Linked DNA regions of Macaca mulatta. The protein of the gene in region 1 binds, or shares a complex with, the protein of each later gene. Links are inferred from orthologs where the notes say so. Each region holds a gene or a part of one and is shown in the gene's direction. Other genes may lie near its edges.

Region 1 (4,882 bases):
CCCCCTGTAGCTCTCTTCCCATTTTTGAACAAAAATAAAGAAGTTTCAAATTCAAGTTGGTGGCATATTTATAACCTTCAAAGACATTATAACCAAAGGCTAAAATGAGATTCTGGCACTGTTTGGAAGTTTCTATTTTGGGGGCTCGCCTCACCACTTAACTTGAACTGGGGATTATCAGTAGTACCGTACATAGTCCATTAATTTCAAGTCAAATCATTTCACAAATGTTAATATTTCACGTATACATGGCTGCAAGGTATGACAGAATGCTTCATAAAAGCCATTGAAAATAAACTTCAAAAGTAAAATGCATCAATCAGTTAAATCCCATTAGCCTATGGGAGAAATTTCAATATGTATACCTCCAAATTTCAAATTAATAATGGGGCAATATTATTGTGCCACCTAGAGTACCAAACAGTGGGTATAAACCATCTCCTTAGTCAGATGGAACACTGGCTGGACACTGCAGATTATCTGGGGTTTAAGACGTTAACTTCTATCACGAATCTAAATTCTGACTTCCCTGTCTAAAACTTCGGGAACATCACATCTTTTATTTAAAGCGAAAAAGTAAACTTCTAACATACAAAATAACGGATTTCTTTTCAAGAGCGATAGTCCTTTTTTTTTTTTTTTTTTTTTTAACAAAATCACTGCCCTTGATTTTTCATGAACTTTAAGTTTCAGAATGATTTGGTCAAGAGTATTTCTACAGGAATAGGAAGAGAATCAAGTGGGCCTATAATCAAAGACCTAGCTGGGTCTCACCCTCATGGTTAACTACTGAGACTTCATAGCCGATGACCAGGTCCTAAAGTGGACAGAACAAGCCTTACTGGAGGTCCGTCTTTGTGGTAGGTACAGAAAACTTGGAAATGCAATTCTGTGGTTTATTTAGGGTTATTAAGAGCATGAGAATAGCCCTGCAAAGGCTGGTAAACTAGGGTTTGCAGTATGGAGTAGTAAGCAAAGCCTCTACTTCCCAGGCCCTGCACCCGGGGTGTGGAACAGACAAAAGAACGGCTCTGCCCTTGCCCTTCTCGAACTTAAAATCCAATTCGCAAAGCAGGACTTACACATATTAAATCAAATACAGCATTATGCTGAAAAGAGCCCCTGCGTGTAACAGTTGCCAATGTGTGTTATACCAGTCAAAACGATTTGAAGGAGTTTTAAACGGAAAGCTGGAGAAACATACAAGAAGGCAGATCTAAGATGGAAGAAAAGGCGGATTCGGGTTGAAATGCCAAGTTGAGGACTGAAGAAAGCATTTGGACAAAGCAGCCTCCAGGCTGGGAAGGCGAAAAGCCAAACGAGTATAGCCACCAAAGACCCAGAAAGGCCAATAGATTGTGCAGTGAGTCGGTTTAACTGAAAGGCGGTTTCCTTTTCCTCCATTTGCTCAGTCCCAATTGGAAGCGCACTGCGCGGCCTGCGCCGCGCTCTCAGCCCGGGTTCGGCGTGGGGGCGGGGAGGTAAGTACGGTAATGGGCGGGGCCGAGCGCGGGCGCGCTCCGGCTTTCCTCCTGCGCAGCGCTCCCGTCAGCGCAGGGGGCGGGGCGCCTATATTACGTGCGCGGCGCCGCCCCTGCGAGAGGACGTTGCGTGCTCGCTCGCGCCAGGCGAGTCTCCGCGTCTCCCTCGCGAACTCGGTGAAAGGAATTGGCGCCGTTCGACACCAGGCGGATCCGCTCTGCAGCACGACCCCATCTCCAGCCGCAGCCGCAGCCGCCGCCCGGGCCGAGGAGCAGCCGCAGCAGCCGCCACCAGTGGCCGAGTGAGCGGAGCCGAGTTTGAGGCAGCGCCTAGCGGTGAATCGGGGCCCTCACCATGAGTTCCTCGCCTGTTAATGTAAAAAAGCTGAAGGTGTCGGAGCTGAAAGAGGAGCTCAAGAAGCGACGCCTTTCTGACAAGGGTCTCAAGGCCGAGCTCATGGAGCGACTCCAGGCCGCGCTGGACGACGAGGAGGCCGGGGGCCGCCCCGCCATGGAGCCCGGGAACGGCAGCCTAGACCTGGGCGGGGATTCCGCCGGGCGCTCGGGAGCAGGCCTCGAGCAGGAGGCCGCGGTCGGCGGCGATGAAGAGGAGGAGGAAGAGGAAGAGGAGGAGGAAGGAATCTCCGCCCTGGACGGCGACCAGATGGAGCTAGGAGAGGAGAACGGGGCCGCGGGGGCGGCCGACTCGGGCCCGATGGAGGAGGAGGAGGCCGCCTCGGAAGACGAGAACGGCGACGATCAGGGTTTCCAGGAAGGGGAAGATGAGCTCGGGGACGAAGAGGAAGGCGCGGGCGACGAGAACGGGCACGGGGAGCAGCAGCCTCAACCGCCGGCGACGCAGCAGCAACAGACCCAACAGCAGCGCGGGGCCGCCAAGGAGGCCGCGGGGAAGAGCAGCGGCCCCACCTCGCTGTTCGCGGTGACGGTGGCGCCGCCCGGGGCGAGGCAGGGCCAGCAGCAGGCGGGAGGTAAGAAGAAGGCGGAAGGCGGCGGAGGCGGCGGTCGCCCCGGGGCTCCGGCGGCGGGTGAGTGCTGCGTTGTACGTTGCGCGCGGCGGGAGGCCCGCGCGGGGTGGGGACCGTGCCCCAGGCCTGCCGGAGCCCCGCAGGGGGAGGGAGCCCCGGGCGGGCGGGGGGCCGCGGGGAGGGTGGCGGGTGGGGGAGGGGGCGCGGGGAATCCCAGATTAGCCGAGAGGCCTCGGGCTCGGGGCGTGTGTGCGTGTGTTCGTGTGTGTGTGTGTGTGTGTGTGTGACGGCGGTGGCAGCGCCTCCATTATGTGGCTCGAGAGCCGGGGGGAGCTGCAGCTGCCGCTGGAGGGGGAGGAGCCGCGGGCGGGCGGCGGGAGGGAGCCCGGTCGGCCCGCGGTGGCGCCGTCGCGCTGCGTGCGCGCGGTGCGGGCACATGTCTCGGGGGGAGGGGAGAGGCCCCAGGTCCCGGGGCGGGCGCGCTTTGGCGGCTCCTCGCCGCTGTATTGTGCAAGGAGCGCAGGGGCTCGGCGTGACGTCACTTCCTGCGGGAGGAGCCGGGCGGGGCGGGGCGGGGGGCGGAAGATCAGTACAATGCGGCCGCGGGGAGCGCGGGCCCGCGGGGGAGGGGAGCGCCGCCGCGCCGGGCTCGGCCCCTCCCCCTCCTGCGCCCTGGTCGCGATACACGTGGGCTTCGGGCCTGGGCCGCGCAGTTTTTCTTTGGGTTTCTCGAATCATCGAGGAGACTGGCAAAATTCGTAACGTCTTTAGACTGCGTCACTAGCGCTAATCCAATTCGTAGCTGATTGTTCTTCGAATTCACATTTGAGTCCTCGGTTAAAACCTCGGTTAAAAAGCAGGATAAAGTCGAGCTGCTTTGCTTCTCGGAACGGAAAAGCGTTTTTTTGTTGTTGTTTAGCGGCTTGGCCTCTTATGGGGGTCTTGTGTGTTTTAGGGGACGGCAAAACAGAACAGAAAGGCGGAGATAAAAAGAGGGGTGTTAAAAGACCACGAGAAGATCATGGCCGTGGATATTTTGAGTACATTGAAGAGAACAAGTATAGCAGGTATAGGATGCTCACCTAGTTTTACTTGTCATCCCTTATTCGTTCGTTGATCGGAAAGCTGTATCAGGAGACAATTCTGTCTTTCAGAGCCAAATCTCCTCAGCCACCGGTTGAAGAAGAAGATGAACACTTCGATGACACAGTGGTTTGTCTTGATACTTGTAAGTGAAGCTGTTTCTCCCCAATTATGAAATGCGGTGATGGTTTTTTTTTTTTTTTTGCTTCCAAAATGTTAGAAAACTTAATGCTTAAGTGCAGCAAAAGTTGGGTTAGGTTTTTTTAAAAGCAGGAAGAGATAATGGTTTATATTCAGAACCTAGTAGTTTAATATTTAGCACGGCATCAGTTGTATCAAATGGATTATTTTACAGGCTCTAGGAGTTTCATATTTTTATGACTTGAAAGTTCTCGTTCTTAGGAAATGTAAAATTAATGCCAGTTTCTGACTAGCTAACGGAAACTTGTAACACTACCTATAATTTAGCCTTACAGGCTTCTACAATAAAGTAATTCATTTTTTTGTGGAATTATATTAAGTGAGCTATTTGGGCTAGTTAAATATTTACTAATGACTTCTCCCATTAGCACACAAGTATATTCCCTATTCTAAAAGATTGTAATATTATTTTTTCAATAACTGCTCTTTTGTTCTCAATTCCAGTTCAGTAGCTGCTGCTTTAAACATAAGTTGATTTCTTCCAAAGACCTGAGGCAGCAGCAGTGGGCTATCACTGGGCCACTAGCTTTCTTCAGCAGCGAATGGTATCAATGGCAGTGCAGCACTGTAAATACTGCTACTTCACCCAGTTGGGTTGCAATTGAGTATGAGAAAGTATTGCAAACCTCTAAGTGGGCTTTGACTGTCAGACTTGCATTTTTTTTGTTGTTGTTATAAAAAAAAGTAGTTGGTTTAGTGACCAGAATTCACAACTCTGGGTGTGATAAATAGACCAAAGAATAGAAATACCTGTTTGAAAGTATCAGCTGTGGTGTCAGCCTGCTCTGTTAGATGGAGGGCATTGAAGCTTAGCTTCTCATGTTTTCTTGTACAATTTGGTTTTATTCAGATTTGTAAGAGTGTAAATGTAAAACTCTTTCTTACTGGAATGTCCTTTACAGAAGGTTGAGATAGTCATCTGAGCCTTTTTAAAGTAAAAAACTGCAGGTGAAAAAGGAGTTAGTTGATTTGAAAGTTTTATGTGAAATTCTGGGTTGTGTAAATAAAAAGTTGCTAGGAATTGGCAAGGTAGTGAAGTGGTGACTCATGCAGGTAATGTAATTGTTAGATTTTTTAGCAAATCAGATAGGCATATGTCAATATAAACACAATGTTGAATTCAAACAATCT
Region 2 (4,882 bases), about 190 Mb from region 1:
TAAGGGTAATGGTAGTCACTGGAAGATTTTAAGTAAGACAGTGTCATGATCAGACAGATGTTCTCAAAAGAACTTTCTGGCTGTTGTGGTGAGGAATATTAGAGTAAGACAGAGGTAGAGAGGTGTGGTTAGTAGCCAACAGCACTGCTCTATACTAGGGATCAGCCAACTACACTCCGTTTTTCTGTGGCTCATGAGCTAAGAATACGAATCGTTTTTAAAATGTTTAAATAGTTGAAAATATGTAAAGATTCGTGTCATGTAAAAATTAGGGCTGTTTTCAAGCTCCAAACCTGAGTAGTAAGTCAGAACCATATTGTCGGCCAAGCTTGTATTATTATTTGGTTCTCACAGAAAAAGTTCCTACCCCTTGCTCTAAGCAATTGGCGATGATGGCCTACAGTAGTGGCAGTAGGAATGAAGACTCTGAATTGACATTTAGAGAGTTTAGGACTGACTCAAGAAGGCCTTTAGGAGGTGGAACTGACAGGCCTAGACGGCATTGGTAGGGGTAAGGGATACTGCACTAGCCTCCTAACTGCTTTCTCTACTTCCATTCCTTGCCCCTCTGCAACCCATTCTCCACTCCGCAGCCATTTTTAAAAAGATGCCCCTCCCTACTTACGACTCTAAAATTGCTCTTCTCACTCTTCCCCTCAGGATATATTTCCAATTCAATACACCTAAGTGACTCTGCCCACCTCTGCAACCCAATGTCACATTCGAGTCTTACTGAACTACTTGACTGCATTTCCCGAGATCCCACCTCTTCTCGCCTGTACCCTGTGCGCAGAAAGTCAGCCCTCCACCTTCTCCCTGCTTCTACTCCCAAAATACTTCGTGCTTCTGCAGCTCTGGAGTATTTACCGTGTTGGCTGTTTAAATTTCTGCCTCCATCAGAAGGCAGAAACTGACTCGCGAACTATTCCATCCCCAGCCGATAGTAGACGCTTAAAAAAGAACGAAAGAAGGTGGGTGGAGGACTTCAGTAACATCAGGTGGCAGCCTCAATTTTATCGTTTGTGAAACGTGGATAGTAATTCCTCTATCACATGGCTGTTGTACGAATTAAATGAAAAAAAACATAGGACGCTAGCTTGTTCAATAAATGTGAGTTGAATTAAATCTGATTTGTGGCCAGTAGAAAAACACGTTAACACTTGAAAAGGAAGACACATTTTTAAAAATATATGCCTGGTAAAACGGATCAGAAGGCAGGTCCCCATGGAGCACACCCTCGCCCTAAACATGCTGAGCCCGGGCTGCCAGAGCCTGCGTGGTCCCTCCAAGGTGACTGCTCCGACAAAAGCGTACGCTCTTCAAACGCATACGTTTAAGGCAATTCCAGAAACCCTCGGCTGTGCCGCGAGTACACGGCCATTAAAGAAAAGACGACTCTATGCCCGCCGTAATGTTCTCAGATCACAGGGACCGTATTTGGTGCAGGGAGGGAGGGAAGCCTTTTCTTCACGGGGAGCTAAGGCGTCGTCGAGCCCCCTTCCAATCCCGGGTCCGGCCGGGTAATCCCTGCCCAGCGTTCGGGCGTGCCTTTTTTTCAGCCGAGACACAACCCTGAACGTCGGGCCCGCCAGCCCGTCGACTGCCTCGTGGAAGTCACGTTCCCTCTGCCCGTCCTCTCAGGTACTCTATGGTTTTCGTGGCCGACTACTCTAATTCTAGTTCCGGTCTCTATGGCGGCCGGCGGAGGCAGGAACGGTTGTAGGTCGGCTGAATTAGCCGCCAGACAGCCAATGAGAGTGGAGGACTGATAAAATGTTAGTCAATAGAAGCCAGGGACTGAGGTCAGGTGGGCAGATTGACAGTACCACCGGCCAGTGAACAACGCCTAGGGCGGGTCGATCGTAGGGCTTATCCCGCCTGTCCCGCCATTCTCGCTAGTTCGATCGGTAGCGGGAGCGGAGAGCGGACCCCAGAGAGCCCTGAGCAGCCCCACCGCCGCCGCCGGCCTAGTTACCATCACACCCCGGGAGGAGCCGCAGCTGCCGCAGCCGGCCCCAGTCACCATCACCGCAACCATGAGCAGCGAGGCCGAGACCCAGCAGCCGCCCGCCGCCCCCCCCGCCGCCCCCGCCCTCAGCGCCGCCGACACCAAGCCCGGCACTACGGGCAGCGGCGCAGGGAGCGGTGGCCCGGGCGGCCTCACATCGGCGGCGCCTGCCGGCGGGGACAAGAAGGTCATCGGTGAGGACCGGACAGGGACGGGGGTGGGGCCCTCGGGCAGCCTGGCAGCGGAACCGTTAGCCGGGGCTGGGCGAGCCGGCGGGCGCGCGGCCGGTGGGGACCGACTCCGCGGCGCGCGGCCGCCCCTCCCCCCGCCCCCCCACTCGCTCTTGCGGGGGCCCGCCCGGCAGGCGCGCGCACACTGCCTCCCGCGCCCCCTGTGGACCCCGCGCGGCCGCGCGCCCCTCCTCCTGCGGCCGCGCGCCGCCGACCGCGTGTGCGACGGGGTCCCCTCCCCGCCGACTGGCCTCGTGCGCTCGGGCCCGCACGCCGTTGTTCGCGTCTCCCCCACCCAGCTCCCTTCCGCGTGTGCTCGGAGAGCGCGGCGCACCGCCTACGCAGTCCGGAGCGGCTTCCCCTTCCCTCACGTGCTCTCCGTCCGCGGCCTGCGAACACACCCATCCTGGGCCCGCGCCCCGGGCCTGCCCGGGAGCGCCCCGCGCTTCAGACTCACCCACGTGTGCGGCGGCGGCGGCGTGGCCCCGGCGCGGACCCGCACCCAGGCGGTGGAGAGAAAGGGCTGTCAGGTGGCCGCGGCGGGCAGCGTGCGAGGGACCGGATGCCGAAGCGAGACGGGTTTGGAAAAGGATAGCTGGTAATCGTGGCTTGTTTTGCTTTGTTTTCTTTTCCAGCAACGAAGGTTTTGGGAACAGTAAAATGGTTCAATGTAAGGAACGGATATGGTTTCATCAACAGGTGAGCTGCTGGGCTCTGAAGCCTCCATCCTACCTTCTTGCTTGCTTCTTGCTGTGCCAATCCACAGTCCTCTTCTGAAAGGCGTTTACTACCTCTGGTGTATTAATGTGATTTTTTGTCTGTTTGTTTTCCTTGACGACTGGAGGGATTTGGGTTTAGAGAATGCCTTTGTTTTGCAGCTAAATATTAATTTGAAGCTAACTTCAAGGGCTTCGTCACAGCACAAAGCAATTTAAAAGGCAAGCGGAGTGAATGAGCCATTCCTTAACAGGGTAAACGGGAAAGTACGGTCCAGTAGATTTTTATTCTTGTCATCCTTTTCTACTTTATTGAACTCGGTATTTGAGAATGTGATCCACTGACATCGGATATTTACGCCTTGTTAACATTTTGGGGGTAAGAGGATTTGACGTGTCAAGTATATGAGGTTTTGTCATCTTTACCGAGAGGTTGTATTGCCTTTGTTTCACGTTTCATTTTAATACCTGAGATAAATTCTGTATTAGCACAGCTTTGACCAGAGAGAACTGTTTTTATTTGTTCATAAATAATATATCTGCAAGAAAATGGTTTTTTTCCTTCAGTTCTTATTTCATTCTTCCTTGTCCTAAAATCATGCTGATGAAGTCAATTTCCGCTAGATCCCTGGCTGTAGCTTATTAGAGTGGCCATAGTCACTAGTAACTTGACATTGTTCTTCCTGTTTGAAGGTAAAGCTGCAGATACGTCTTTAGGACTTACCCTTCGGGTTGTTTGTGGCAGTGGTGGTGGTAACGTGCAGTAGACGCACAGTATTCCATGGGCTTCCTTGTGAGCCGGGCATCATTTTCAAGATGGCTGCCAAGGCTAGTAGTGCAGTTACATGGGTGTAGAGCACTGGGTATGCCAGTAGCAATCTTGGCCTCACAGGTATGGTACTTAAGTGCCATCTCAGCATTCTCTTGCTTACTTACTGTAGAAGACCTAAGCAGATGATTAAAAGAACAACGTGGAATGGACAACAAATGGGCAAAATCAAGCTTAAGGACAGATTCATGGCCTGATGAAAAACTGTTCATTAATCAATCATAGAGTATTGTGGAAATACTTAAAGTAAGAGATAAGCATTTGATGATCTATTCTCTACTTTTGCAATTGTGGGAAAACATTTTGTTTCTTCCAGAATCTTAGGATTTTCCAACTTGTTCTATACTGTTTGCCTTCCTGGCTGGCTGAAACTACGGTTTTCATTAATTTTTTGATAAAAGCTTACTAGCAAAGAAGAAAGGGAATGCTTATATATGATTGGTAAACTGATAGCTTTTTAACTGATCTGTCTGAATTTGTTAGTGTTTTAGTTTGTATTTGTGTCTTACTGACTGTCCTTACTAGTCTAACTCTTAAACCAGTGGTTTTCAAATTTAAGTGTGCTTACCTTGGAAGGGTGTGATTTAAGTGGTGTATTTCTTCTGAGCTTTGGATTCATTAGGTCTGGGTACATTTTTAACAGGAATGATAATGGTCTTCGGGCCATACCTTCAAAATCACTGCTTTTAACCCTTGACCCAATGTAATGGTAACTCTGGTGTGCAAATATGCATCCTTTTCAGCAGATAGATCGCAGTTTTTGTATGTGTTTAAGAAGTTTTAGCATGTGCCTTGTTTCGCTGCATTTTTTTTTAAAGTGGGCATAGGTTATGACATTTTTTGAAATCAATAGTTTTGTCCAAAATAAGAGTATTATCTTTACACTTTATAAGTATTTAGTCCATGAGATACTATTCATTGAATATCTCTGTTCTGAATTGGAATCAACTCAGTTGGTCATCCTCCAGGGCAAGTTATGAATTGGCTTTTGATGGTCCTTTGGACTATCCTAACCTCGATTATTTTGTCAGATTAACTGGTTAAAATATTCTTTATGCTTCTGAACTGGTTGTTTTAATTATTCTGGGATTTTTTAATA

Evidence for each region. The genes of interacting proteins can lie anywhere in the genome.
Region 2: HNRNPU (region 1) and YBX1 share a complex: the UniProt entries of both Homo sapiens proteins name them as parts of the coding region determinant (CRD)-mediated complex. The link is inferred for Macaca mulatta from reciprocal best matches to the Homo sapiens genes HNRNPU and YBX1.

Annotation. Positions count from the first base shown.
Region 1 is NC_133406.1:4,246,036-4,250,917, forward strand, and holds the start of HNRNPU (heterogeneous nuclear ribonucleoprotein U), read left to right. Parts: upstream 1-1,598; 5' UTR 1,599-1,836; coding exon 1,837-2,527; intron 2,528-3,422; coding exon 3,423-3,534; intron 3,535-3,621; coding exon 3,622-3,695; intron 3,696-4,882. UniProt on the Homo sapiens protein: DNA- and RNA-binding protein involved in several cellular processes such as nuclear chromatin organization, telomere-length regulation, transcription, mRNA alternative splicing and stability, Xist-mediated transcriptional silencing and mitotic cell progression.
Region 2 is NC_133406.1:198,075,894-198,080,775, reverse strand, and holds the start of YBX1 (Y-box-binding protein 1), read left to right. Parts: upstream 1-1,897; 5' UTR 1,898-2,036; coding exon 2,037-2,202; intron 2,203-2,337; exon of another isoform or gene 2,338-2,836; intron 2,837-2,873; coding exon 2,874-2,937; intron 2,938-4,882. UniProt on the Homo sapiens protein: DNA- and RNA-binding protein involved in various processes, such as translational repression, RNA stabilization, mRNA splicing, DNA repair and transcription regulation.